2 linked regions of the Oryzias latipes genome follow. Each later gene encodes a partner of the first gene's protein in a complex. Links are inferred from orthologs where the notes say so. Each region holds a gene or a part of one and is shown on either strand. Other genes may lie near its edges.

Region 1 (15,121 bases):
CAGTGCAAAATGTCACTTTAGAGAGAGAGAGAGAGAGAAGAGAGGTCGCAGAGGTCAGCAATCAACAAAATAAATACAATTCTAGTTTACGTTCTGTTCTGCTTAAAAGAAATCTCTTTTTGCCTACACGTGACCTTTTTTAAAAAAATATTTAAAAGAATGAATTTATACTTACGAAATGAGCAGGAAAATTTTGCCACACTTTCATGACTATCTGTGGTTTATTTTTTAAGCTCTGAAAATGTTATTTCTTCCTTAATAAATATGCATTTTTAAAGTAGCTACAGTATTAGTGCTGCATAGATTTTCAAATCTTTGTTTTTCAGGGAAAAAGTTGATCCCCTACAGCATTTTTTAAACCTCAATAACTATAAAGCAGTGTTTTTCAACCGGTGTGTTGCGGCACACTAGTGTGCCGTGGGAGATGACCCATTCACTGATCTAGAAACATTTACCATCTCCAGCATATCAGCTGTGTTCATCCAAACATAACTGATAAAACACTGAGTAGTTAGGAATATGAAAGATCATAAAATACTTTTTTCTGTTTATTTGATTCTATTAAAGACAATTTGATAAAAATGAGGGTATCGCGATTTAGCTGCAGCTTCAGCTCTGTTTTCAGAAAAGTCCCGCCCCTTCAACTGTCTCCTCCAATCATTCTTGGAGGCTTAATCACACGTCATCAGTCTGACCAATCAGAAGTGGTTAGAGTCTTCACTTCCTTGTTCTGATTCTGTTCATAAAGTCTCTCAGTTCCTACAAAAATATCAGCTAAAGCTCGTCTTTAGCGGTGGAGCCTTCCACAGAATCCGGTGTCAGACCGTGGAACAAGTGAACAAAACAATGAAGCTCAAAAAAGCGAGTCTGTCTGCAATCTGTGGCAGTTTTGCAATACATCTCCCATGATGCATTGGGTTAAAGTGACAGCATATCTGCGCTACAATGAGTCTTTCCTGTTAAATGTCTTGAAACCACAACGAACACACATCAAACAGTTTTTAAATCTTCTTGATGAAATCAGAGGTCAGCAGTTTAGTTCCTCCAAGTCATCTTTCTAACTGAAACCCTTTTCTAATAACGTCTGGATTATTTTATATGTTAAATTTAAGAAGAAGTAACAACAACATTTAAGAAACAGGATTAAGGTGAAGTGGCCAACAGACACAATTAGACTAAATTGAAACAATTTCATAATCTAAAAAGAAATAAAACATTTTGTTAAAGTTTTCAAATACTTCATTTTTTAATAAGACAAGAAAAAACTAATAAAACTTAAACATTTTCACTTTTTGTGTAGCTACAGAAAACAGAAATATTGTGATCATATAATTGCTCAAAAATTACAGTTGCCTTTCCACCAACATTGAAATAAATGTTTAAAAAATAAATCACTATTTAGAAAGAATCTATTTGTTTTTTTGTGAGGTTACATAAAATTGCATGTTAATAAACTGGAGGAAAAAATAATTACCAGGGTAAGATTTCTAATAATTTAGTTGAAAATTATTACTGAAAACTAACTTAACTTTTATTACATCTTTTAGAAAAAACAGCTGCAACTTCCAGCTTTTTCTGCCACAATTATCACAAAAATGCACGTGAGATCATGGAGGGACTGTACATCAATACAGACTATGAGTTTGTTCTTTTTTAATTATTGAATGCTGGTGTGCCGCGGGATTTTTGTCAAGGATAAAGTGTACCTTGGCTCAAAAAAGGTTGAAAATCACTGCTGTAAAGTATAAAAGTTTTGATTACACTAGATCAGGGGGGTTAAACTCATTTTCACTGAGGACCAGCATAGTGGTTGTCCTTAAAGTCCCTTTAACCCTTGTGCTATCTTAGATGACCCCACCCTTACATTGACGTGTTCTCCCTACCATGACAAAGGTGGATGAAGGTGGAAAGATTTCATGTAATCCATGGACACCAGTGAAGATCACAAATCATTGAAGAAAAAAGGTTCAGAGCACTGTCTAGTGGGTCTAGATGACCCAACTCCCAACGTTAAAGTGCCTAGGATAGCACAAGGGTTAATTAATGACAACCACTATGCTTAGACATGTAACTAGACATGTAACTAAATGTAATGAAAAATAAATGTAACTACTCCTTAATGTTAAATAACTCATTATTTATTTATTATAACTTTTTAAAGTGACAATTTTATAGAAAAAAATATGTTTGCTTGTTACTATAGGATAAATCCCTTTAAATTTGATTCTGCCAGGTTAGGTTATATGGACAGTGTTTAAGTTCTAATGTATAGTTGCTCAATCCCATATTTCAAATCAGGTTACCCCTAGATATGAATAAATACACACCAATTTTTTTATTTTATTTTAAGAGAATAAAAACTTTTATGCTCTCGCGGGCCACATACAATGACATGGAGGGCCACATTTGGCCCCCGGGCCTTGAGTTTGACACAAGTGTTCAAGTGAAACAAGACTCAGTTGTGAACATTTGTTATTTTTATTTCCATTTATTCCTATAATATGATGCTAAGTATGAAATGTGTATCCACTGGTTTAGAGAAGCTATTAGGAGATATTAGGCAAAACTTGTCCCTACAACTCATATGTTTGGTAATTTAATCCTAAATCTATTAAATTTTTGCAATACAACCATTTTAAAAAAGGTAATATTTTTACAAATAGGAGATGTTTTTAAACTTCTCTCGGTAAAAGCAAACAGATGTGAAAGATTTGCTCTATGGTGGTCTCTGTGAAAAGAAGCATTATAAATAAATAATAATGGAAGAAAGGATTTTGACAAAGATGACCAGATTACTCATGAATGTGTTTTTTCACATTTCTCTGTTAAAGTTCATGTGAGATTCCTAATGTGCCACGTAAGTGTGTTATTATGTACATGAGCATTATAATTAATTGAACTCGTAACTTTCTTCCTGCCTTCAAATAAAGTTTAATTAAAAAAGATAACATACTTGTGAGATCATATTTTTGACAAACCATTTATGTTTTAGCTTTTACAACTTTTTTCTAAATCAAACTTCACCAGTATTTAGGTCATTTTTAAAACCAGACCTTCCTCTTTTTTTTTCTTTAAACATAAACTACAACCGAATCCCTATTGATAAAATGATGTGTTATTATCTGAACATGTCAAGTAAGAAATTGGTGCAGTTTTAGTAACATTTTATAGTTCAAATCCAATTAAAAAAAAAGAAATCACAGAACAGCAACTTCAGCTAGAACAATGAAAACGGCTTCATCAGTCAAGAAAAACAGCGACACAAGTTGACATTTTCAGGTTCCAGGCAGACAGAAAGTGTACCTGCCAGATGGTCAGCAAGGGGGGGTAGAAAAGGGTGGTGTTGGTGAAGGAGGACAGGAAGAGGCGGAGCCAGAGCAGGAGCACTCTTAGCACTGCGGATAAAGGCTGAAGAGATCAGAGAGTCGCCTGTAGAGCAGCTACGCAGGGCTGAGGAATTAGGAAGAGAAGAAGAGAAATAGCGAAGAACAGGATAGAAAGAAAGCCAAAAGCAAAAGAAAGAAGTAACTTGAAGTGAGTAGGAAGGTGAGGAGGCATGAGAAAGACGACTGAAGATGCAGTGACCACGAAAACAAGGAAAGCAGATCAACTTTAGCAAAAAAAACAAAAAAATAGAAGAAAAATGTGTGAGAAAATAAAATGTGTTGTTTGTTTTGCTAGAAAACTAAACCAAAAGAATGTACCGTAATTAAGTAAAATGAGAGGCCTCCTGCACAAAAATACAAAAAACAGATGCAAAAAACAAAAAACAAATGCTCCGCAGTGCCATCCCATTCCTAACCCATAGAGTTCTGTATGATGTAGGTTGACCTTTTGCAGCTATTACAGCTTCAACTTTTCTGGGAATGTTTTTATAGGAATTTTTGACCATTCTTCCAAAAGCACACTAGTGAGGTCACACCGTGATGTTGGTGGAGAAGGCCCAACTCTCAGTCTCCACTTTACTTCATCCCATCAGGTTCAGGTCAGGACTCTGTGCAAACTTCCTCCACACACGACTGTCATCCATGTCTTTATAGTTCTTCCTTTGGTCACTTGTGCACAGTCATGTTGGAAGAGGAAGGGGCCCGCTCCAAACTATTACCACAATGTTGGGAGCTTGGAATTGTCCAAAATGTTTTGGTATCTTCTAGCATTCAGAGTTCCTTTCACTGGAACTAAGCCCAAGTACTAAAAAACAACCCCACACCATAATTCCTGCTCTACCAAATTTCACACTCGCCACAATGCAGTCCGACATGTACCGTTCTCATGGTAACCTCCAACCCCAGACTTATCCATCAGATTGCCAGATGGAAAAGTGTGATTTATCACTCCAGAGAAGGTGCCTACACTGCTCTAGAGTCCTGTGGCGTGCTTTACATCACAGCATCCGATGTTCTGCATTGGACTTGGTGATGTGTGGCTTGGATGTGGCTTGGAAACCCAATGAGGCTTATTTATTAAACTAAAACAGAATTAAACTTTTAAGAATGATCTTGGTCCCCTGACAGAAAACTAAAAAAAAAACTGATTATAACAGCAATGTCCTGCCACATTTTTTGTTACCATGCGAGAACAGCTGATCGTATAACCCCGGGGGTCGGGAACCTTTTTGGCCGAGAGAGCCATCAACAACACATAATTTTAAATGTAATTTCGAGAGAGCCATACAATAAGTTTAAAACTAAAAATACAAGTGAATGTGGGCATTTTATGTAATTTCAATACTTTTAAAGTCTGTAGATTCTTTTAATAACATTGTTATTTCTGGCACCATGTTGAACACAAAACTTTCTAAGTTGCAAATGAAAATATTAAATATTTGCTTTTAAATTATTTTCTTTTTTTGCTTTCACATTTTCTTTTTGCTGTAGAGGTGCCTGTCCTGAGAATAAACTGGACATGTCCAGGTGTACCCTGCTTTGGATAAAGGACATGGTGGGTTAAGAAAATGGATGGAAAATAATCAAAACAGATAAGCTAACTCTGAGCTAAAGTAGGTTAACTGGTAGCCGACCATAGTGATCGTCAAACGGTCGGCTGCCAGTTCGTCTACTTTAGCTCAGAGTTAGCTTGGCTATTTTTGTTTCATTATCCTCTTTTTACACCAACTGAGTAGAGTGGTATGTCTGCAGCCACTTTCTGGGCAGTTTTCCTCCACTGCTGGGTATGAAACTATCCACTGATGCGTTGTTTACACGATCAGCTGTTGACGCCTGCCGCTGACAAAATGTGGCTTGTGATTGCTGTATTATAATCTGTTTTATTCCGTTTTCAACAGAGCTATGGTTACAAGAGAATTTTCCCATTATGGGATCAATAACTTTCTAAAAAGTTCAATTTTTTAATGTTTAATAAAGAAAACTTAATACACATGCATATTGAGGTTCTTGGACCTTTGTGCATTGGAACAAAGATCCTATGGTAAAATGTTAACTTCACTTTTTTTTTGAAAAAAGGGAAGTTTGCTGTGCAATCTGCAGCACTTGATCAATCCAACACTTACAGACTCATCAATCTAACTTCTTTCCAAAAGAATGTGAGGTTCTGATTAAATGTTTCAAATTCTGTCACTAGATTTCCTAAGTGCACAACATGCTGAAATGTAAAAAGAAATAAACTGAGTCTAAAACGTTTTAATAAAATGAGTCATTTTAACAGTACTAGACATTGTAAAATGAGCCAGAGTGTAACTCATAATAGAGTTCATTGGTTTCCAAGTATGTAAGACACACATTACTGACCTACAGTCTTTTGGCGAACAATACTCCTCGCTTTTTCAATGCCCGGAGAACCAGCAGTGGTGGCACTTCGCTGCCTCATTGCTGCTGCCTGACCTGACTGGTCTCTGCTCCAGCCTTTGGAAAAGGAACGGTCCACTACTTGCCGCAGGCCCTCTGAACCGATAGCTGGCGAACGAAAAGAAGGCAGGTCAGGCTTACGATCATAATGCACGGGAATATTTTCAGACACCGTGTGTTGTTAAATGTCTGTCTGTACAGATCTCTAGTGAGGAGCGAACCTTTGCCTTTGTGTTTCTTCTGTTTCTGTTCGCTGAGTTTGTCCAGGGGCAGCTCATTCAGATCAACACTGTACAAATTTCTTGCCAAGACCTAAAAATCAAGATAAACATTGCTTTAACATTGCCATAGTGCATTTTTCTATTCATTTAGTCTCCATTTCTGACTCTACAAACCTTTTTTGATCAAAGGTTCAATTCAAAAACATTGATTGGGTTTTTCCCAGAATTTACCAGTATCCATTCAAACATTTTGATGGTTATAGGGGAAACTCCCTTGTGTTTTCATAATAAGTTTAAATCATGTCTCTGGAAATGACTGACGCAACACTGATATAGATTCCAATTAAAGGTCAAATCTAAAAAGATGGGAGTATAGGACCTTTGTGAGAGTTTCCATGGTGAGTGACCACTCAGTTACCAGCTCCTCCCAGAAGGTCAGAGAGGAGAGCACAGACAGGAGGTCGTCCCACAGCTCTCTGCTTATGTAGACATTCAGGTTTGCCTTAATCCAAGCTACTATCAGTGTCTAAAAAGAAAAAAAGAAAAAGAAAAACACACAAATAAGACTATAAATTAGAAAAAATTCCATTAAAACTAGCGGCATGACAGTGATTACGATGAGGGCTGTAAAATACATTTTCATTATGAACCACTCACATATTCTCACTCATACTAACATTCTCGCTCTCACATACATATATACTCACTATCACATACATACAGTGGAGCAAAAAAGCATTTAGTCAGCCACCAATTGTCCCAAGTTCTCCAACTTAAAAAGATTTCATTCAGTTCTGACAGACAAAATAAGAAAAACAATTCAGTAATACATCACATTGTCTGATTTTTAAAGAATTTATTTGTAATTTATGGTCAAAAATCTTTGGAGGGAGTTGAAAGTCTGTGTTGTCCAACGACAGCCCCAAAACATCACTGCTGTTGAGCATCTGAGCACACTGTGAACTGGACTTAGCATTCCTGCACACCAACACCAAGATGCTACTGACTTAACATCTCGTGGACACTGAATGTCTTATGTTTCTTGCTGTGTTTCTTTTTGTACTCATGCTGCACTTTGGTTATTTATTTAACTATTGGGTATTTATTTTGGTGAATTGAACTGAGAGGCTGTTGTTGATGCTCCAAATGAATTTTCGTTGTTTCACTGACAATGACAGAATAAAATCTTGAATCTTGAATCTTTTGCTCTAGAGGAGATCTGGATGGAGGAATGGGCCAAAATACCAGCAACAGTTTCTGAAAACCTTGTAAAGACTTACAGAATACGTTTGACTGCTATCATTGGCAATAAAGGGTATAAAACTAAGTATTGAATTGAACTTTTGTTATTGACCAAATACTTATTTTCCACTATAGCTTATTGATAAATTCTTTAAAAATAAGATTTTCAGGATTCTCATTTTGTTTCTCATAGTTGAAGTATACCGACACTGAAAATTACAGGCCTCTCTGATCTTTTTAAGTGGGAGAATTTGCACAATTGGGGGCTGACTAAATACTTTTTTGCCACACCGTATATACTCGCTCTCACATACAGTACAGACCAAAAGTTTGGACACACCTTCTCATTAAAAGAGTTTTCTTTATTTTCATGACTATGAAAATTGTACATTCACACTGAAGGCATCAAAACTATGAATTAACACATGTGGAATTATATACATAACAAAAAAGTATAAAACAAATGAAAATGTCATATTCTAGGTTCTTCATAGTAGCCACCTTTTGATTTGTTCACTGCATTGCACACTCTTGTTTATGTGTAGTTCTCCAATATAAAACCATATAAACCAGAATTTTCTAATGAACACTAAAAATTAGTTGCAAATATTTATCTGATTTTTTTTTATGGACATGTAAACAAATTGATGGTTTTGTTTTTTTCAGCAAATGGGTGTTTAAGGTCGAAAAACCTTTCAAGAAACTCGTAAGATGCTTAAATACCTAAAATGGTCTCCTTCTTATTTCCTGCAAAGGAGAGAAAGCTAAAATGTTGCCTTAGTGATATGCTGGCAGTGATGTACCTGGAAGACCGGTCCAGCAAGTCTGCCTGAAAGCGTGTTGTTAATCTTTTTGCCCAGAGGCATGATGGACGGTGGTCTTTTCATCACAGATTCTGTCACCCTCAGCAGAACTAGTAAGATCTGCTCCCTATGAAGAGATAAACCATTTTAGCTAGTTAGCATTTGTGACTGAACCTTTGTAGTATTTAGAATTATGAGAAAACAAGAAGTCCTTCAGTACGTTGGAGTATTCTTACCAAGTTTTCTGGTCCATTGTTTCATGCATGACAAGGCTGCGGTAGATGTTCAGGACTCGCTTGCACATGTCCACATGCTCCTCTAAAAGGATCTTGATGTCATTGGCAGGTTCCAGGAGGAAAACGTTGGAGGAGTGGGTGATAAAAACCTGCAGAATGAGCATGAGCTTTTAATGAAAACAACTAAGCAAACAGTTTTTCTTCATTTTTTTTATTTACAAATCCAACGAATGTGGATGAGAAGATTGGGGGAATTCTTGGGAGAAAAAAAAATCACTACCTGGAGTGTAGTCTGAATGCCAGCATGAACACTGTACTCAAGTAATTCTCTGTCAATATCTTTGTCCATTCCCTAAAAAACAAAACACAAGTGTTTAACAGAAACGTTTCATTGAGATACATGAATGATTTCAGGAGACTTTTACCTCATCTTCTTTTTCTCCCGGCTGTGAGCCAGTCTCTAGATTACAAGGGGCAGGTACGGGGTATGGGCCTTCTTCGGATTCTTTCATGAACACAGGCTTGTCCTCCATGGAGATCCATTCTTGATAAACACGAACCACTTTTCGCATTGCAGCTGCTTCACACATGGGGAGGAGAAAAGCCTATACAGGTGAAAGCAAAGCAGGCCTAGTTTATACGCTGAAAAAAAGCTTTTGATGATGGAAACTCTCAAGTGTTCAAATAAGAGTCAGAAAAAGGAAAACAAAGGGACAGCTGCTCTCACAACCATTAGGAAACACTGAAAAGTAATTTACCATCTCCCAGCTGTTAGTAGCTCTAAAGATACTTGAACAGGTATGAAAAATAACTATTTATTTCTCACCTGTCTAAAGATTTCTGTGATGAAGTTGACATTAGTTCTGCAGCTGGTCAGTACTCTCCGAACAACTTCCATGTCTGTCAGCTGCTCTTCGTCCATTGAGCACAGTGAGGAGGAGCTGGGCTCTCGTTCGGTCAGTGTTGAGGTGTTGGAGTGGCTCTGTTCGGGTTCTCCTGGAGCATCGAGACCGCCACAGATCCCCATGCTCGCTCCTGCTGGCCCTGAGGAGCCTCCGCTGGCTTCCAGGTGACTGTCGCAACGCAAGCCTCCCCCAACGCTGTCATCAGAGTTGCCCGCGGAGCGTGCAGCCATTCCAGCTGCTGCTCTCTAGACAAAGTGGAACGGTAAAAAACAGTTAATAAAAAATAAGAGGCACAAAAGTATGAACTATTTTGCAGTTTTTTCTTATTGAAATGTCTACAGAATGTTTTAATTTGAAAAAAATAAAAGATGGATGCAGTAGTGAAACAAAGATACATCACTTAATAGTACAATGTCTGTAATTACCTGTATGTTCTTTGGGACACTTTCCCCCTCTGTTCCTGGGATGTGTGCTTGTGTGTTGGGTCGTGGTTCCAACCAAAAGGAAACTAGCCAGCGAATAAAGATGACTCGGGCCTGAAGGAAACTCTCCTTGTTACAGTAGAGCATTTCCCCACCATCCTGCTCTCTGCGCACCAAACTGTAGGATGGCTTGGGACGCATTGGAGGCACATCTGCAAGGGACAAAAGTAAAGCACTCTCGTTCAGTGAATGTACTCCAGTATATGTGAAATTTTTACTCTTCTTTCTCCACCCTGATTATGACCACTGACTGACCCAACATGGGATTGTAAAGGCTCGTTTCCATGGCGAAGTTGGGGAATATGTGAGGAAGATAAAACTTCCTGAAGTGATCAAAGAGGAAGCTGAAGCCACGTTCATGGTTCTCTTTGCACCGCCACTCCAGAGATTTGGCCTGTTCAAAGCACAGATGCAAACAAACACAGAGAAACAAAGAACTTAACTTTTGATACAAAGAGGCTATTTTGCACTCAAACAAGATTAAGCAAAGAGGAGCCCCATTGTTTCAGAAGAGAGTGGTGTCAGTGTGAGGACACCAACAGTAAGCAAAATGAGACTGAAAACAGGGAACACAATGTGTATTTAAGGTGGTAAATAATTCAATTCACTTCAATTTTCTGTACTTCAAACACAAATTAAAATAAACACAAGAGTTTAAAAAAGACAGATAAAACAAGACAGTGTGCTTGAAAAGGAGTGGACTTAAGAGAAATCTTGTATGATCCCACCCCTTTTTTACAGCACCTGATCATCTGCGTATTTCTATTTACAGTTTTGTACATGTTATACATTCACATTACATTCTGCATTGCACCTATGCAGATGTGACATTTTTGTTTTTATTAATCATTACTTGCCTTGTACAGTTCCATCAGTGACATCTTGTAGGTTTTTTTGAATGCATGTAAACTTTTGGGTTTGTTTTAAACCTTCGTCCAATCCATTCCATAAATCCACACCATAAACTGATAAACACATTTTCTTTTTTGAAGTGCGAATGCACTGCTTTTTGAAGCTTAGCTGATTTCTTAAAATGTAACTCCCATCTCTTTCCTTGAACATTTGTTGCATGTTTATTGGAAGCAAGTTATTTCTGGCTTTAAACATGAGTGCTGTTTTAAGTTTTACTAGTTCCCAAAATTTCAATAAACCCAACTTTAGAAATAGTGCATTTGTATGAGTCCCATAATCCACATCATGAACTATTCGTATAGCCTTTTTGTAAGATATACAAACACTGTAGATTTGTTTTACGAGTATTTTCCTAATCTTCTACACTGTATGCTAAATGTGGTAGTATTATCAATGAATATATTAGTAGACGTGCTCTGTGAGTGAGTGTATGATGCATTTTTCCCAACACTGCTATGTTTTTAACAAGTTTAGCTCTGACTTGATTTATATGTGGCTTCAAGCTTATTTGGTCGTCCATAATTACTCCAAGGAACTTGATTTCAGTGGCTCTTTCCATATCATGATTATCAAAAGCAACTTATATTTCTAAATTTGCAGGAATGTGGCGATTTCCAAAAGTCATGAATTTAGTTTTGTTCACATTGAGTGACAGTTTATTTTTGTCGAAACATTGTTTTAGTTTCCCTAATTCTGTGTTTACTACTTTTACAACTTCCCGGAGGTTCTCCCCTCTACAGACTATACTTGTGTCGTCGGCATATAAAAAGTATTTGAGTGTATCTGACACCATGTATACATCCTTAATGTAAAGGATGAACAGTGTTTGGCCTAATACTGACCCGTGTGGTACTCCACAGCTTAAATTTAGCAGGGATGATTTTTAATCTTCCAGTTGGACAAACTGTTGCCGGTTTTTAGTGCAACTGTTCAACCAATTTAGTGCCAGTCCTTGTATTCCATATCTTTCCAGTATTTCTAAAATGTTATGATCAATAGTGTCAAAAGCCTTTTTCAGATCGACGAACACTTCTACTGTGAGCTCTTTATTATCCATGCCATTTATAATTTCTTCAGTTAGTTGTGTAATCACCATGGATGTTGATCTGTTTTTTCTGAAACCATATTGGTCGTCGGACATGAGTTTATGTTTCTCAACAAAATTTTCCAACCTTGTGAGGAATACTTTAAGTATTTTTGAGAATTTGCAGAGTAAAGACACTGCTCTGTAGTTTGTTAGTTGATGTTTGTCCCCTGATGTGTGTAATGTATTTACTTTAGCTATTTTCATTTTTTGTGGAAATGTTCCTGTTTGGAAGGATAAATTGCAAATGTAGGTTAGCGGGTCAAAAATGGAATCAATTACCTTTTTTATCACCATCACATTATTCCGTTACAGTCGGTAAATCTTTTGTTTTTGAATTCTTAGACGATTTTTAGAATTTCTTTTGCTTTCACGGGTTTCAAATAGATTGAGTTTGGATTTCTCTTTATGCAGTGCTCAACAGTTTCCATTTCTGATTTATTAGTACAGTTTATTTCAGCAAACTTTGGCCCTATTTTTACAAAACATTCATTGAACTCCTTAGTCATATCCTGAATTTTGTTGCATATCTCATTTTTACCAGCTACAGAGTCTGGACCATTTGTTTTCTCTGTGTCTTTTCTAATGACACTGTTCAATACTTTCCACATTTCTTTAGTATTTGATTTATTTTTTTCTAACATTTCTGTGTAATGGTCTTTTTTGCATGTTCTCATGATACTGGTTCATTTGTTTTTATATTTTTGTATCGCAGCTCAGCTTCAACAGTTCTGTTTTTTAAGAATTGTTTGTATAAACTGTTTGTTTTTTTTTGCACGCGTTTCTCAGTCCAGTTGTCATCCATGGGATTTTATTATACTGTTTTCTATTACAGAATTTTATAAGTGGGTATTTTTTGTCGTATATTGTTGTAAACCCCTGCATAACTTTTTACAAGCTGATTTAATATTGTTGCTTTCATACAGGTTTTTCCAAGTGTCTGCTTTTAGTTCTGATTTAAATGCATTTTTTGATTCCTCTGTTAGCTCACTTCTGTAAACTACTTGCTTCTTCTATACAAAACACATTCATATTTTGCAAATAGTGGAAGGTGGTCACTGATGTCGGTCATCAGTAATCCACTTTTTATTCTGTTTTCTAGGCGGTTTGTAAAAAAAATATTATCCATCAAGGTTGCGCTGTTATTCTGTTGGGTTTGTTGATTAATGGATGGAAGCTTGAACTGTACATTGTATGAGTAAAATCTTCTGTCGTGGTGTGATTGTTTGGGTTCAACAAAGAAATATGACATTTTTGGAGATATTAGCAAACATGTTTTCAATAGCACTTGTGAAAGTTTCCATGTCTGATGCAGGGGCTCAATACACACAACTGACAATGATGTTACTCTGTTTCTCCATACTAATCTCTACAGATTCAATGAGGTTCATTGTGTCTATAAATTATACTAAGTACTTAAATTCTTTTTTATCAGACACTGGTTTGCTTTGGTTTTTTTTTGGTAAAACGTACCTACATGTTTCGGTGGAATACCTTCCGTGAAGGCGTTTTACAAAAAAAAAAAAAACAGTGTCTGATGAAAAAGAATTTAAGTACGCAGTAATCCTTACATATATTTATTCCGTGACATCATCAATGCAGCCAGACATTGTTTTCACAACTTTGTGTTTAAGACTGCTGTGTATGTAAACCCCCCCCCCCCCCCCCCTGCTTATTTTTCCTGCTCACATAGTGAAAATCATAGCTCTCAAGATGGAAGTGCTTTTCTGCTGTTAGCCAGGTCTCTGAAATTGCAATTATTTTGAAAGGTTTGTTGAATTGGTGCAAGTATTCTTCAACGGTGATTTGCATATAAGCTTTTGCTGTTGAACTGTATGATTGAGAGTTCGTGATTTGTATTTCTATTGTATTCTTCTTCTGTGTAATAACTGCAGTGGTTACTCACAAAGTCAAAGAAATTAATATGTGGGTCATTGTCTACATCTATTGTTGTGTATTTTTTTCCCTTTTTGGTATGGATGTGTGCGGGGAGGACTACAGTGTTGTTGTATTCTATCAAAATGTGTCCAGTTCTTCAATTTCTTTGATCGCGATGACTTTTGCCTGTTCAGGTGGGCCGTTTAATTTAATGAAGACTTTGCAGTTTGTTGTCCAAGTCGATTGTATTTTTTTTTCCTTTTCTGAGAAACCGTGCTTTTCGTGCGATGCCAGAATTCTTCTTGGTAAGATGCTCATGCAGGTAGACATTTGTTCCTTTTAGTTTTCTTCCTTGCTTGAAGAGAGTATTTTCTGTTCGAAAATCGCATTCATTCCAGAAAGGAATTTGATCAATATTTCATTAAATGTGTGCAGGAATTTAGCATTAGTGGTATTAGTAAAGTCCTCAAACATACAGTGCAAATCACACCAACAAATCACTCAGTGCTAAAAACATTTTAAAAGATCACGACGACAATTAAAATGCAAAACAAATGATGAAAAAAAACGTACATTTTAGAAATCAAAACACAATAAAAAAAAAAGAAATAAAATTAAAAAGATACGTTTTGGAAAACTAAAGTAATTTCCAGAGAGCAAAATGAAATTTGAAAAACAGAAATGTCCTATAGTACGTATCTTTTCTGATTTCTTCTTTTGTTTTATATTTTAAGATTTTATTTTGATTTCTGGAAATTTTGTTTTCCGAAATGTTTTTTCTTTTTTTTATGGAAACTGGAAAAGGTGAGTGCTGTGGGACATCACTGATTGGATGATGATGTCTGTTCACCATTTCAACCGAAGGTTATTTGTCATGAAGAGATACTGAATATGATCTCTATATATGAGGACATTGAAGATGCATTTAAAAAAAAAACACACACAAAAAACCCCACGAAGAACCAAACGTCATCATCCAATCAGCGATGTCCCATAGTACCTACCTTTTCCGGTTTCTCACTGTGTTTCAATCTTTAAACATTTCATATTGATTTCTGGAAATTACTTTTGTTTACTGAAACATTTCTTTTTTTTTTTGTTGGGCTTTGGTTTCTAGAATTTAGTTTTAATTTGTATTTTTTTTTTTTAATTGTCTCGATTGTCTTTAATATGTTTTTGCGTTAAATGATTTGTGGATGTGATTTGTAATTCAGAGTCACAGTACAAACATCTTCTCCAGGTTTTTTTTTGTATTAGCTCTGTTAGTAAAGAATGGTGAGAATACCTGGTTTACCATGTATTTTAGTAGAGCTTCCAGGAAGTATGCAGTAAGATCCTCCTGGTTTTTATCACCAGATTGGGGAGCAACTAATGGTGTGATTTCTTCTGGAGTCACCTGAGCTGCAGGGAGAAAAGGCAGAAAAAGAATGATGGAAATATCCATTTCTTGCTCATCTTTATGTAAATGCTGCAGAAAACAATATATATTGTTTCAGCTGTTACTCTAAATCCACAGCTTTAGTCGGTTTGATCTACTAACTCTCTGTCAAACTG
Region 2 (15,902 bases), on another chromosome or scaffold:
CCAGGAGGATGTTGATGGAGGCTCTCCTCAAGTCAGTAGGATTTACATACATTTTGAATTTGGACAGTTCCCTGAGAAATGCATGAGAGGCGGGTCACAACCCTGAACACCAAATCCAGAGAGGAACCTACGATGGACTCAGAGGCTCACCTGTCTGGCACGATAGTTTCAAGAGCAGCTATGAAATAGGGCACTACCACATTGATGCCCTTCAAATCAGTGCAGAACAAAGACGAAGAGTTGAGAATGATGGAAGCCAGAACTGGTCTGCAGATAAAATCCGATATCTGGAGACCCTGAATCAGGACCATGTAGAACCTGCAGACAGCAATGAGAACTCATGCAACAGCAGTCTCCCAAACTACAGAGACATTTGGCAGAGAACGTCTGCTACCTGGACAGGTAGACGGACAGAATGTCTTCTCCGGTTTTCTTGCTACAGAAGATGCGGCAGAGCGTCCCGCAGGCCTCCGCTCGTCCTGCCTCGTAGCTCTCCGGGAACTCGTTGATGTCAAACAAAGGGTTTGGCACCATGGAGTCGGTCGACATCTGAGAGCCCTTCCTCCTCAGGTCCAACCCCAGCTGAGTGCTTATGGCTGCAGGAGGGGGGAGGACACAGAATGAGAGAACCCTGAATTGCATTGTGGTCATTTGTTTGCATGCATTTACACAGAACAGACAGACTACAATGTGCACAGTAAAAAAAAGTGAATCGATCACATTTCATACATAAAGGCGACCAAAGATTGTGTTTCTATTACAGAATTGCTGCAAATATCCACTTTTAAAAGGAAACTCTGACAAAAGGAATTTGCCGAATGAGTTTCATTTGGTTCTCTGGCAAAAGCTCAGGTGGAAAAAGGTCAAACGTGTCTGCCGTTTGTCCTAAAAGCAAAGTCCCTGTGTCAGCGTCCTCTGAGCTTTCATTAGACGACATCTGCATAAGTCAAAGTACAGACCATTCGCTTCATGCATTGAGGCGCCAAACCAATAAAACCACAACTCAAATGAACGGACAACGCCAACGTAAACTGAAAAACAAATGCTAATAATAAATAAACACATCAAGAAGGATTAGCAGAACTGAAAAGTGAAGACCAGCTCGAATGGGGCAGCATATTCACAGACTGGCAGCATTATGGCGGAGACAAATGGTCAGTTGGTGAAATCCGTTTCATCAGCCGAGTGGCGAGACCGCTGGTTTAAACATGAGAAGGAGTGGGGGGGGGCATGAAAAGATAGTGATGATGGCAATGACCATGAGGAAGTCAACTGAAAAGCAGGGGAGGTTTGTCAAAAACGCAAGATCAGGTGAGAGAAAAAAATTAAATCTGTCATTCCTACTTACAAGATTTATAAGAAAGGAGAATTTGGATAAAAGAGGCTGCAAGATAACAAAAAAATAGTGAAGAGAGAGAAAAATCAAAGCAGATCCCATCATTTAGGACCAATTCATATCAGGCATGAATCGTGTTTTGTCCTCCTCAATACATGACTTTGACTCATTCCAACTTTTACATTAAATCAGACATGGCAGACACGTGCAGGACACCCCAAAGAGAAGCTAACAGAGTCTTTTTCAAATTCAGTCATTAGCCGCTTGGTATTTTTAGACAGACTTTGTGTGACTTAGCCCTTCAGTGTGGTTTTCATATGCATGTAGATGTCGTCCAGTTTAAACAGGTGGCAGATGTGAATGGACAGGAATTATACAGAAAGGCCACTTCTAACCAAGCTGTACACACGCACGCGCGCACATATGCGCACACACACACGTGTGCACACACACACACACACACACAGGAAAGTTTAGGGTAAAAATGGTGAAAAAAGGAAAACAGACTCCAACATGGGCACAGAAAAAACTGACAACCACAAAAATCAAAGACATTTACAAAAACACACAGTAAAAGGACAGCAACACCCCCCCTCCCCCATGCGCTAGAGCATCCCAACACCCCCGACCCTTACCAGTCATGCTGCCGTCTCTGCTCAGGCCGCTGTGCAGCTTACAGTGCACCAAGGCAGCGTCAAAAAGCCACTGACCAAACAGGTTCAGGATGCTGTTGACTTTGGGCCGCGCCGGGGCGGGCAGCGGCCGGGACTCCCAGCTGCTCTGGTTGGGGCTGGAAAGCAGGGTCGGGGAGGAAGATTGATGCTGCTGCTGCTGCTGGGTCGCTTTGGTCGTTTGACTCACACTGCTCTACAGAGGCAGACAGGGGAGAACAGAATGCTAGACACCATCTTTGAACACGACCGTGTTTCAGCCAAACTCCGATCAACTCTTCATTCCCAGCGGTCTTTTCATTCTGACGATACCGATGTTTTTAGCCAAAACCGGCAGCTTCCCTCCAAATCTTCTGGACTTACAGATGAACTCTTGCTTGCAGTTTTGGTGACCGCCATGTGTCGCTGTTTGCGGCTGTGTGGGGGTGTAGTGTTGGCAATGGAAGGGGGCGGGGACACACTCAGTCTGTTAACTGGAGTGGGCGGGGCGCTGTCAGCCCGGGGCCGCGATATACCTACGTACAAAAAAAAAAAGGGTAAAGAACGGTGGGGGGGGGGATTATTTTGTTCAAGCAAAAAATCTGAAGAGACAAAAATGATTTGTCTTCAGGAAGGTCAAGTCAATCAAACACTGTTCCATTCATTCGCATGCAGGACATTTGTTAGAAACAAACCACCGATCATTAGTGTCATCCATCTGGATTTGAACCTGCAGGATTTCTCTGCGTCATTTTGTTGTTGTTTAGTTTGAATCTGGAATTTGTCATTTTGTAGGCAGAAGATTACCCCCAGTTTGTAAAGTTCCAGTGTGTAACATTTAGATGAACCCTTTAAGAAAATTTTAGGGCTTTTGTTTTGTAGAAAAAGAATAAGTCTTTATAGACTTATCATTAAAACAGGGTCAGTTAAAGGGTCAGTTCCTTCTTGGGAGCTAAGACTAAAGACAAAGTGACTCAGAAGAGGGGTGGCTGTGATCACGCCATGGCGATGTGTCAAATATGGCTGCGTCCTACACACTGGACCTTTAATGTCACCACAAACAAACAAACAAACCATGTGCCCACAGGATCTGATTGTTTGATGTCTGTACCATGAGAGAGCTGCAGTGGAAAAAAAGTGAACACTCTGTCGCGAACGTCTCTCTTTTCAACAGAGACACCTACAGTGTGAAGAGAAAATACATACGGGCAGGTTCGCATTTCAGTCACTTTATAAACCAGTAGGGAGATTGTGCTAGATTAAAAATCAGAATAACATCAAGGTGATACAGAGAGAACTTCACTTCCCTAACTATGAATGTGAGCAGTTTGGTAAAGGTGGGCTAAATGACTAAAATCAAATTTCAGGGTTGGAGACCTCTGACGTCCCATCTGGAGTGGTCACAAACTCTAAGACATGTTGAAGAATGCTGCTTTCATGATTTCTGAAATTTTCTTCTGATCCGGTGTGACAAAGAAAGCGGGAAGACTAGTTTGGTTTGGATGGACATGGCTGCTCTGATCAGAACCCATTCCAGCCGCGTTTTCCTTCATTCTTAAAGCCAAATGGCTTTTCCAAACTAAAACGGATGAGAGCAATCCGTATAAAAAATTTTTTTTTAAAAACGCTATAACTTTTACAGTTGGCTTTTCTTAAGCTTTGACTCAAATTCTTCAACAGCTTGACCAAATATCTTCTTACCCAAGAAGGCATCGACAAGGCAGCTGACCCCCCGCATTGCCCTAAAGAAGATCTGGGGGAGCTGCTTTAAACAGGGGTGCAAAACCACTTCGTGGGGGATTCCACTCGGGCTGAGAAACTGCTCCTGAAACTTTGGAGTGGTGCTGACGATGGCGGGGTTGCTCAGGTCCACGGGGTTGCTGGGAAAAAAAGGGAAACACATCTGCAGATTGAATAAAAAGTTGTCGCTAAATTGCAACGGTAAACTTTGTCGAACAGGAACTCAAACAGACGTAGAGCCTGAACTGTGGTCATGCAAGAACTGGTTTGAAAGAAATGTTAGTTCAACTTCCCATAACAGGCTACACAAAAAGTGTGTTATCAAACCACAGTTCCGTTAAAAGGACCAACACACAAAGAGGCTTTCAGGACCTGATCATGTGCAAAAATCGATACCACGTCTGAGCCACACAGTCGTTGTCCATTTCTACGGGAATCAAGTTGGCGTCTTCATCTGGGACCTTGAAAGGTGGGAAGGATGGTCCGTGGGTGAACCGCAGAAGTCTGCAACAAGAGGGTAGCAGGTTCAACACCAGACCTCTGAATCTGCATTCCATTGTCCAGCAGGTGTCACACCGACGTTAGCGGTACTCAGTTCAATAACTAATGTGACTAAATGCCTTAGAAGCTTGAATCTTCTGACCTGGACGTCAGAGCACAGGCCACCCTGCTCCACTGCTCAACAACAGGAGGGTGGTGTCTCCAGTTCGCCAGCATTTCCTTCGCCGTCTTCCAGTACGGCGGCGTGGGAAAGCAGCGAGCACAAGCGAGTAACCACACTTCAAACAACACAGCCATCAACTTTTCTGCAAGTTTCTCTGCCACGCCCACTGAAGGAAGAAACAAAGGAGACCGTCGTTCGTCACCGCCGCCAAGAACCATGACGATCGAGTAAGAAACGACTTCAAGTGGAGATTTACCTCCAACCGTGGGCGGTGCCAGCAGTGTGTCATTGATACGAAGCAGAAAAAGCAACAACACCTCCCAGGTTTCTCTCACCATAGAAACGGACTCTCGGGCCAGCTTCTGGACCGCAGTCAGAACCTGCTGGCAAAGTCTGATGTGGTTCAGACTGTGTTGTTCAGGCCTGAAACAGTTCAATTGGAAACAATGAATGGTCCAAAGAATTCCTGACCATTTTTAAGTATTTAAAAGGCAGCTGATGGATGCTGCATCGCCACATGGCTTTGATTTTGATGTAAAGTTCTAAGGTGATGTCACAGAAAAACCTAATTTACAGAAAAATAGGAAGGAAAAACAGACAGAACTTTGAAAATCCTTCAAAAACATGTCCCTAAATCCTTCATTTCCTTCACCTGTACATGTTAAGACAAAAAAATAATTGCTCCATATAACCTGTAATTCTTCAAGTGCACAGACGTCTGATCCAAGTATTTACTGTTCATCATTGTGAAAAGCTAAGCTAGCACAGAACAATTTGACCCGTTTATGAACCAATAACTCCCAATAATAATTTAACCGTCTGCCGTCATTACTTTACTGACCAACAGAAGAGAAGTCACACAACATTAGAGCCAAAATCATTCAGAAGGAGGAGGAAAAGGAAAGCTGGTCACATACCTTGGAACGAAGACATTGTACAGATGTTTCAGAATGGTCTGCACATACATGTTGGGCTCCTTCACCACAGGCTGTGGCATGGAGTCTCTGGGTGACACCAGAGCCATCATCCAGTCAGTGTACACATCCACGCAAAGCTTGACAGTGTCTCCTTCTAATGGGAGGGTCAGGCCATAGCACAGAACCTCCATGGTCCATTTCACCTGAAAACCAGTTTTTCAGGATTCAACAGACTTCCATGGAGCAACTTTTTAATTTAAAATAACATGTATGAGGGAAAAAAAACATGATTAATTTAAGGTATGGGTTTAACAGCTTACTGTTTCAGGATGATCACAGCAAAGTCTTCCATTTTGCATGATGACAGATAATAGAACTTAGTAACTTAACCCTGGCTGTTTGCTTGATTCTCTTTTGATTCCAAAATGGCATGCAAGGTTTTACGTAAGTGATGAATGAAAACTATAGCATCACCTACACGTCTGTGTATTTGATGGACAAAGAACAGACGGAAAAATGAACCTCAGATGCAGCAAGTGAGTGTTTATCACCTACAAAAAAGCTTCAATCACAAGCCTGAAACTCTGAAACTGCTCAGTTCTGCCCCCAACTCTGCATTTTTCAGAAATGTTAACCAGTTGTTGGGTTTGTTGTTGTTTTTTTCTTTTCGAAAGAGCATCCATTTCAAAGAGGGCGTGGCCACCTGACAGATTCCAAGAAGCTCTGGGACGGTGCAGCCGGGAGGCTCAACCATTAAGCATGCAACATTTCATTGTTTTATTAGGTTCATGCCATATCAGAAGGTTTAAGTCTGTCCAGAGCTTTGGACATATTGCATTGTTTTAAGGCTAGTCAACCTCAGTTGCACACAAACTGTTTTAAATTGAATGGAAGAGACATTTTACGTGTAATTCTGAAATGTAAAATGTATATCACGATTCCCCTTTCGCTGTCGGACTGTTTTGCAGATTTTTTGTATGGAATTTTGCATGCTTTTTGTTGTCTTTTCTTTAAAAGGTTAATGGTGTTTTTCATCCCTGTGGATCGTTGTCCACCTCATCCGTGCTGTGTCTCCTGTACAGAATCCAATCACCTCAATAACATAAATCTTCGATCACAATCAGATCTTTGTTGTTATTCTATAATCCTGGACCTATTTTTCTATGAAAGTTTAAACTTTGAGAGATTAAACAAGACAGAAACGAGTGAAAATATCCATGTCTGTTCCAGAAAAGTCTATGAAGTGTGTAGTGAGGAGCTTTCCTGGCTTTAACATCTGTTTTTAGAATGCATCTCCCAGGGGAAACAACCTTTCAGGGGAAACAACCTTTAGGAAAGAGTAGCTTTTTTTAAAACCTCTGACAGTTCACAACTTATATGTGTACCATTTAAAGCAAATGAATGAACCAAAACTAAAAAAATAACTAACAATTTTATTATCTAAAGCCACTACATCCCCACTAGAATCAAAGCGGTAGCTGGATCCCATACCAGCTTTCATAGAGTAAAAGCAGGATATACTGTCATATATATACACCTTTCTAAACTGAAGGAGGGTAATTAAAAAAACGTGCAAATTCTACACAGGAAGGGGGCAGGATTTGATATTAGAACCTTCTTTTTAAAAGCACACAGTCTTAACGACCAGCACATGATCTTGAACAAGCAGCAGTTATGATGGAGCACCATTATTAGAAAGGTTCTCACCTCTTTGTCCGTCTTGAGGATGTTCTCCGTGGCCACAGGACTGACCGCTGTGCCCAGAGGCTTCACCACGGCGTTTGCCACTTCGGTGCCGACATTGTTTGGGTAGGTGTGCAGCACGCTTATGTGGCCCTGATCACTCTGCACCACCAGCTGCAGCGAGCGCCACTCCGAGTACATCCTGCTGATTTCTGATGCTCTCTACATGCAGCTCCTGCCTCCACCTGCAGACACACAAATGTGGAGGTCAGGGAAAACTGTACTTAGGTCATTCACATGCCGTTGTCAAAGTATTAATCACATAAAAAAATTGTAATACAATTATGCAGACTCTCATTGAAATTATTGTCTGTGTGATAGCACGTCAAATAGTCAATCTGAACTGGATATCATGTATGGACCTGACACAGCTAAGGATTTCTCTTCCCTGTAAACAGGGAAGCATCAGTAAACAAAAACACCCCAGGGCTTTGTGTTCTTGGGCAAGTTTCCATGTTAGCGAGGAAAAGCAGCCCCGTTCTTTCATAGCACAGCCTGGCAGTGTAGTCTGAAAACTTAACTCAAGTTTTAGTTATTCTAATGTTTACGGGACGCGTCTCGGTTCGGTCAGAAAGGGAGGATTCCCAACCAGGAAGCGGATCCTACTGAGAAGCCCGTTCAAAACATCCGTCCTAACTTGCCGAATAAACCAAAATTAATTGACTGCTGAGTCGATATCACCTCTCTCTGTTAGGAACCGAAAATTATCATCGGTAAAATATGAACATATACTCCCACAGGTCAAATATCACATAGAAGGAGAAAGTTGCTCCGATTTTCCCAGCTAGCTTAGCTAGCATTAGCTTCGTCGCTGACATTAGCTCGCTATGCTTGCTAACTAACCAAGTTTTCAAAGACAACAAGGTTAGTTTGCTGGTTAAATTACAGGCTTTTGTCTTTACCTGAACCTGCAGAGAACGTTTCCATAACACGACTCCGAATGTCCCGGTGTGAGCTCCCTCTTCCCGGTCTAAACCCCAACAGCCTCCATCTTCACAATGTCAGGCTTTGGAGATCTAGGCTTTTGACGGGGCTAACAGGAGACGGCTTCCGGTGCGAGGCGCCCCTAGCGTTCACCGAGGGGATATACGCAGGCGCAGACTGTGGGTGTGGCATGTCGAAGTTTGAAACCAAAAAAAATCTGTAATTCTTCATTCAAATTTTTACATATCCCTCTACAGCAGTTAAAGTCAAAATTCACCTTAAGACAACGTCATTAAAAAAAAGCAAAGTTTAATCCCGGTTCTCTTTTTTTTCTTTCTGTCATGTTTGTGCCAACAAGAATATTTGCATACACAGTCATGCACATGCGCAGTAAATAACATTTTTCCTCATCTTAAAGCCGGGGAGTGAAAGTCTGCCACTGCCACCACCCCCTGCCTTCATTGTTTGGTTCTGTGTTTGGATCTGTCAGTGAGGTCCCATCCGAACCCAATGCTGTGACCGCATCTATATTAGTAGCTTTTCTGGAAAAGGCTTGGTTGTCATGGTGCCCTGCAGTGTTTTGGTTATGTGGGCAAAGATAGTGTTCGGCACTCAGGAGCCTTGCACCTGACCTCCACTCCAAGAAGAGAGCCCGATTTTATTTACAACTTCTTCTACAATAGATTAAGCATGATCAGTTCACATGCTCATAGTGCACGTGTAATCTGACAGCTTTTAGCTGGTGTTGTCAATAAAAAGCCTAAATCACCAGTCAGGAAAGCAGCATAAATCATAAGCAAAGAGATACATTTTAGCATTCTCATACCTTAAAAAGTCACTGTGCAACCCATGTTCTGGATAATTTTAATTATCATTTTTCTCCTAAGTTTCTTTCAGTTCCAAGAAAAGTTAACTTCTATCATTTCGAGTTTCACGGCAATCAGAGCAGTTTTATTCTGTCTCTACGGAACAAAATACTAAAAAAAAAAAAAGTCTGACAGAATTTTCTTTGTCCACACAATTTACATCTTGTTCATGTCATTTAATGCGAACACTAACACAGCTACTGTGTAACAGGGTCGATGGGTAATAAACAAGTTAAAGTTTTTGATTTGTGTCTTCCCAAGTGTGAAGAGTAAAACCTTGCAGTTCATCTTAATATGAGTGTTGAAAATCTAAATTTTGCTTGTCATTTTTTTGGGCTGTGTAATCCATGAATAGCATGTATGTGCTATTCATGGATTACACATGGATTACACAAACCTCATACTCATCAGAGGTCACATTTTTCTGCACCAGTGTCCTGTGCAGTATTATCCTTAAGAATAATTTGTTAATGAATGATGCTAATTCTGCTTATTTAGATGTAATAGCTTAACTGTTGCTAATTTATAGTCTTGTTATTTTAACATTTGTTTTTAGACACAACTGAAAAGTGCGTAACCTGATGACAGACCACAACAAGTGTGTTTTTCTGAGCAAAATCATCATAAAGCATTATCTATTCTAGTTTAAGGAACAGATTTTATCATATGCTAATGCGTATTAATTATCCTAAGTTTGATACGTCTCTGTGCGAATGCATAGCTGCTGATTGTTTTGTTTGTATTCTTACTTTGATTGCTTGAAATAAACCATGTCAAATCAAATCGAATCAAATCGAATCGAATGATCTGTGCCACTAAAATCAACTCCAGAGTTTCTAATGGTCTTTTTTTTTTTACCTGAGATGTTTCACACCACATGACTTAGCTTGTCTATGATATTTTAAAGTATGTAAATTTTAATTTTTGCACATCTGAATATTTAATTTCTTTGCATCTTGATGCCTAAACCCCAGGGTTGTTTTAACAACTAAATTTCCCTACGGATTATTAAAGTTCATCTTATCTCAAGCAAATCCTATACTTTTCATTGTATACTTGACCTTTTTCATGCAAAAACAAAAAGAGCATCACACAAAAGATTGTGTTAAAATTTAATATACTGCATATAAGCCACAATTCTCTAAATGGATCCTTTGTGGCCCTACAATGGACATCCAGAAAGAACCGCACACTCCCCGACAGTAGCTAGGACAGGCTCCAGCACCCCCGTGACCCCAGAAAGGACCAAGAGGGCGTAGAAAACGAATGCATGCTGGGGTTATTGATTCAGGGCAGAAAACCTTTTTTTAAAGTTCTTCAATTTCAAAATAATTCACACCCAGCTGAGCAAAACAGCTGTTTTTTAATTTTTAAAAATAAAAAGTTGACCCCTATGTGGTAATAACATTTTTTTAAAAGTCACTTACTGACACTGATACATACTGTAATATTTATTTACAGCTTATACATATACACATATAGTGGTAGTTCTGAATGGAGGTCAAGAAACATCCTCAGGATGAAGCAAAAGGTCAGCAGTGGGCCACAACACCTTCTTACAGTAGGGGGCAGCAAAGTCAGGCTCTACATCCAGTAAACATTTCAGTAAAGACTCCAAATTTAGAATTGTCCTGCCTATAACTTTTAGATAAATAAATATGAATAGAACTTTTTTTAATAGAAATCAACAAATCAGTCACACACATCTGTGTTGTATGAGAAGACATCCTCTCTCAATTCAAAACAGTTGGATCCTCTGTGTTCCAAAGAGAAAAAAAAAACATTTTCTAAGCCCTGGATTTAGTTTGCTGCTCTGCGCGGCGCACACAAGCCCTAAGAATTAAAAGATGTGGTAAGAGGCGAAGCATTTCAGCATGTACAGAATGCCCTGTAAATGCATTTCAGATGTTTCTGTGTGCGTTAAAAGACGTTGCGCATGTGGTGTGCACATGGTGCAAAGTTTTTTTTTCCAAAACAAATCCATGTAAAACATTAACTTTCCCAGGATGCACTGCAGCGATTCTGCAAAACAGACCCAGAAACTCCCTTAAGCTTGCATTTCTAACATTAAGCATTTCTTGCATACTAAAGGAAAAAAACAGAAATGTAAAAAAAAAGTAACGTTTTCTGCTTTGCAGGTTGTAGCAGTCGACTTTTGGCCAGACTGTCACAGTCTCTGGCTTCCACATGAGAGCTCGGGGAGCCAAACCGCTTCTCCTGCTGAATGTCCACAGAAGGAAGAGGAACGCAACGGATTCATGGATGGAAGTCAGCATTCTTCCTTTCTCCCCCTCCTCCCTCCATGTTTGGAAAGGTGCACCTCCCATTCTGCTCTGCTAGGACTGGTAACCATACGACAGCGACTCTGAGGGGGGAAAAGGGAGACTGCTGAGACTTTTGCATGCAAGTGTCGGGCAAAAACAAAGCTTTAAAAACACGTTTTAGATGTTTTCATATGCCGACATGTTGACAGATTTGGTCTAATTTGAAAAACTTTAACCAGAAAAACTGACAATTGCGCTTTAAAGGAGTAAATACAATGACACATGTTGTCGAATCAGAAATCTATAGGATAGAATGACAATGATTGACAGTCGCAGACCACATTCATTTATTCGTGCCATTAAACGACTCGGCTCACCTGACGGAAACTGTGCCGTGCAGCACAGTCCATCTCCACGTGCGCTTTGGTAAATGGGCGACACACACACCCTGGAGGACGGGGGGAGGTGCGTGAGCCTTGTTGACCGGGAGTCAGGTGGCAAATAGAGGGAGGAGTGCCGGCCAGGTACAGAGCTCTGCTGTCCCTCCCAGGTGAGCCAGTAACCCCTCAAGCCCTGTGCGCTGGCCTTCCAGTCCACCTGCACCGAATCACTTCCCACAGTGGTCAGCTGGAGGTCCGCCAGGGCCGGAGTAACTGTAGAAGGAGACCGAGCGCTATCAGTCGGAGCATGCTTCGAAGATCCAGAAGAGACGGGCCGTCTGTGGCCCCCTTACAGCTCAGAGCAACTTCTCCCTGCCTGTGTTTGATCAGCGTCAGGTAAACAGACCACGGGCCATTGAAGTCCCATTGCTCACCTTCTTGAGTACACATTTTGACAGACATGGCCTTCTCCTTTCCTGAGGCGTGCCGAGCGCTGACCGTCACCAGGTACGTGGTGTCAGCCTGGAGGCCCCTCAGCAGAGTGGAGTTCTGCCTGGGGTCCACTCTGACGGTCTGCAGCTTCCCTCCAGGCAGGGCAGAGTATTCGATCAGGTAACTTGTGACCGTGTCCGGCTGAAGAGGACCCCAACTGACCCGAACGCTGGTCTGCCCCGACTCGGAGACCGTCACCACAGCTGGGCTCAGCACCTCTGAGTGGAGGGAGACACAGTTCCTTCAGCATCTTCAATTTCCAAACTGAAGATATTCAGAGAAAAACCAGCTTCACATCGCCCTGTCTTGTGAAAGACCAGCTCCAATGAAAATGGTGTTTTTATCAAGTTCTAGTAGCATTTTTATGACTACGGTGAACATTTATGAAGAAAATTAAGCTTAAAATTGCATTTCTGAGTACTTCTTTAATCAAATCGTGATGAATCAAGAGCAGATGAAAAAAATCATTTAAAGGAATCTCCAAGTTGTCACATAAAAATTGCAATGGGCGGAGCCTCAAGCTCCTTGCTCTGCTCCATTCTGATGCATCCTCTTACATACAAATAGATCCATGAACGTCTTTGTTTTCCTTGTCTGAGCTGGAATCTGGATTCAAACTGTACGGCTGGATAGCTACGATATTGCTCGCCATTTTTGTTGCACCGCTAATATTAGGTTGATTGTGTGAGGCAGTGTTTTTCAACCTTTTTTGAGCCACGGCACACTTTAACCTTGACAAAAATCCCGCGGCACACCAGCATCCAAAAAAATAGATAAATAAAAAAAAAGAAAAAGCTCAGTCTGTATTGATCTACAGCCGCTCTGCAATCTCACATGCATTTTTGTGATAAATGTTGCAGAAAAAGCTGGAAGCTGCAGCTGTTTTTTCTAAAAGATGTATTAAAAATTAAGTCAAAAGATTCAAAAACTGTTTGATGTGTGTTCGTTGTTTTAAGACGTTAAGAGGAGAGACTCATTGTGCGCTAAAACAGTCATTTTACTGCATCATGGGAGATGTAGTGCCCATAATCCGCCGACCGCGGAAAGACCAGCGTCTTTGAGCTTCATGGTTTTGTTCACTTGTTCCAGTCTGATACCAGATTCTGTGGAAAGCTACACCGCTAAAGACGAGCTTTAGCTGGTATTTTTGTTAGAACAGAGAGACTTTTTTGCGCTAAATCGAAACAAGGAAGTGAATACTTTAACCACTTCTGATTGGTCAGACTGATGACATGTGATTAAGCCTTCAAGAATGATTGGTGGAGACAGTTAAAGGGGCGAGACTTTTCCTTACACAGTTATAGCTGCAGCTAAATCGCGGTATCCCGTTATTGTTATCAAAATGTCTTTAATAGAATCATATAAACACAAAGAAAAAAGTATTTTATGATATTTCATATTCTTTTTTTTTTTTTTTTTTTTTTTTTAACTTGTCCTGTCCAACAGCTAGGCAAACAGATGAGAGCTGAGGGCCTCTTGTGTTGGACATATTTTATTTTAACAAGAATATTTCATATTCTTAACTTCTCAGTGTTTTATCAGGGCCTGTTTGGATGAACAAAGAGCTGATTTCCTGGAGATGGTAATTGCTTTTAGATCAGTTAATGAGGGCAATTTCTCACGGCACACTTGACCATCTCCCACGGCACACTGGTGTGCCGCGGCACACTGGTTGAAAAACACTGGTGTGAGGGGCTGTAAGCTAGCGGGAGAGAGTATAAACAAAGGGATGGTAGGACATCAGTAGAGGTTTACTTGCGCCCCGACAGTCCCGGCCACAACTCAGAAGAGTATTTTCTGCTGCTCTGCAGAAACTAGGTCCTGGAAAACGACACAGGTTTTCTGATTTTGGCTAAAAACGGCATAATCATCATGAAAACACTGAGAAAATATCAGAAGGTGATCGGAGTGGAACCTTAAGTTACGGAACTCTGGATTTATTTATGTTTTTTAATGGACCATAAAAGTTTTTCCATATTTTACTGACAAAAAAATGAAGCAACCTGGCTTTGTGGTGAAGGTGACAGAGAGCGAGTTGAAGTCTTGCTCGTTGGACTTCGAGGTCAGGGTGGCGACGTACGTGGTTTCCGGCTTCAGGTCCCTCAAACGCACACTGTTGGAGCCTGCGGGCTGGGTGACTCTTTGGTACTGACTACCACCAATACTCGGACTAGTTCCGGGTCCACCTCCGCTGCCACCTCCAGACGGAACCTGACCGACCCGGATTTCATAGTATCCACTCAGACCAGACAGAACCGGGCGCCACTGCAGAGTGGCAGAATCCGTGGAAATATCCCGGACTTGGATGCGCTCGGCGCGGAGAATCTCTGTAGGAAACAGTGTAAAGAAACCAAAATAATGTTAATGTGCGCTCTTAACTTCTATTATAAGAAAAACACAAGACTAAATATTAGAAAAAAAGATGTTTGAGGGAGTGGTAAAGTCCCAGACAGACAAACTCAGCTTCTAAATAAACTTTGCACTCAACTTGAAATCTACAGAAACGCCTGAAAAAATGAACTCCAAAATGGATTTAATGAATGATTCAGTCGGTTACCAAGAATTCATGCAGTTCTCCTGACTTAAAGATGCAGATCAGGTCTTTCTAACTGCTTATGTGTCCTGTTTGATTATTACAGCAGTTACCTAATCCAGCGTGAGACGTCTCCCCAAGTCTAGATCTATAAATACATATGTGGATCATGTCTGACATGGCGTTGGAGGATGAATCGAGCAACGTTTAATAACTAATCCACGAATAGATCAGCCTATCTCGTGGCGACTGTCAAACACGCCAGACGTCCTCGGTATCCGAGCAGCTCGCTTCCACCCGCTGTCTTCAGGAGCGGGAGGATCAGGGGGACATAGGCCGGTCTCGGCACAGGCCACCGGTGCCTCTGCAGCTGTTTCAATGCAACACATTTCTCATGAGTCAATCGGCTAGTCAGAGTGAAGGCTTGATGCTTCCTGTTTACAACAACACTCGATTTAAGGAGGAGGGGATCGATTTGGTGTTGAGAGTAAAAATCCTGTCTCTGAATCAAAAACTTTCCGTTTCTACATGGAATATTTAATGGGCTGCTTCTTGGACCGAGCCTAATCCAAAGCACAGTAAACAGCGGTCAACATCCCAGCTACTGCAACAACAAAACAGCTTCAGCATCAAACACACAATAAACTTTAACGACGCGGAGAAGAAAAATGTCCCAGCAACACTTTCTCTGAAGCTGTTAAGCTACAGACCTTATGAAGAACTGCATTCAATGATTGACGGCACTCTTTTTAACAAATATATCAGTAATAATATGTGCACAATACTGTATTAATGCTAAGGAGACATGTTATGGGCCACAGGTGAGCTCTGTGGCGCCTCTGGTTCTCTTCAACTGCATCAGAGACCATTTGATGTACCGGGTCTTCAAGCAAGTCCCTGGAGTGTTTGTTTTCACCTGACTGATCTAGAATATGCTGACGATACCATTTTATTCAGTACACTCCACTGTCAGCTAAGAGACACTCTGGAAAAGTACGTGAAGAGGCAGAGAAACTTGGCCAGAAATCAGATCACTTCACAATAATGAAAAAAACAATATAGAATAACACAATTAAAGCAGTTATAAGCCAAATTCTGGCCCACTTTTACTTATTTATCAATTGGTCTTTTTTTTAAGAGAAATTTCAAGTCTTTATTACTGCCAACGATAAACCAATAAAATATATATATAAACAAAACCTCAGAATCTGAGACAAAAAACAGGATGGCAGGGACAAAAAATAGAATTTTCATAGAAACTTTAATTTCCTGAAGTTTACGTTCCTTCACTTTTGGCTTCATTTGAAAGTGTTTTTTTGTAAAGTTTGTATTAGTTCACTCCCCCTCCCCCTCCCTTTGGTTTTTAAACACCTTTGTGTCATTTTTTTTCTGA

What was found.
Region 2: ralgapa1 (region 1) and ralgapb share a complex: the UniProt entries of both Homo sapiens proteins name them as parts of the heterodimeric RalGAP1 complex. The link is inferred for Oryzias latipes from reciprocal best matches to the Homo sapiens genes RALGAPA1 and RALGAPB.

The regions. Positions count from the first base shown.
Region 1 is NC_019880.2:19,686,294-19,701,414, reverse strand, and holds part of ralgapa1 (ral GTPase-activating protein subunit alpha-1), read right to left. Parts: coding exon 15,108-15,121; intron 14,969-15,107; coding exon 14,853-14,968; intron 10,088-14,852; coding exon 9,949-10,087; intron 9,846-9,948; coding exon 9,637-9,845; intron 9,457-9,636; coding exon 9,133-9,456; intron 8,912-9,132; coding exon 8,732-8,911; intron 8,659-8,731; coding exon 8,587-8,658; intron 8,456-8,586; coding exon 8,307-8,455; intron 8,198-8,306; coding exon 8,071-8,197; intron 6,552-8,070; coding exon 6,405-6,551; intron 6,117-6,404; coding exon 6,026-6,116; intron 5,913-6,025; coding exon 5,748-5,912; intron 3,451-5,747; coding exon 3,304-3,450; intron 1-3,303. UniProt on the Homo sapiens protein: Catalytic subunit of the heterodimeric RalGAP1 complex which acts as a GTPase activator for the Ras-like small GTPases RALA and RALB.
Region 2 is NC_019865.2:1,627,439-1,643,340, reverse strand, and holds the start of ralgapb (ral GTPase-activating protein subunit beta), read right to left. Parts: upstream 8,094-15,902; 5' UTR 7,953-8,093; intron 7,236-7,952; 5' UTR 7,192-7,235; coding exon 7,015-7,191; intron 5,511-7,014; coding exon 5,308-5,510; intron 4,814-5,307; coding exon 4,647-4,813; intron 4,557-4,646; coding exon 4,370-4,556; intron 4,231-4,369; coding exon 4,099-4,230; intron 3,867-4,098; coding exon 3,688-3,866; intron 3,167-3,687; coding exon 3,098-3,166; intron 2,523-3,097; coding exon 2,371-2,522; intron 2,204-2,370; coding exon 1,972-2,203; intron 1,385-1,971; coding exon 1,349-1,384; intron 597-1,348; coding exon 395-596; intron 319-394; coding exon 151-318; intron 72-150; coding exon 1-71. Other genes in the region: vwa1 (von Willebrand factor A domain-containing protein 1), read right to left, coding at 11,177-11,205, 11,482-11,757, 11,919-12,194, 13,980-14,303. UniProt on the Homo sapiens protein: Non-catalytic subunit of the heterodimeric RalGAP1 and RalGAP2 complexes which act as GTPase activators for the Ras-like small GTPases RALA and RALB.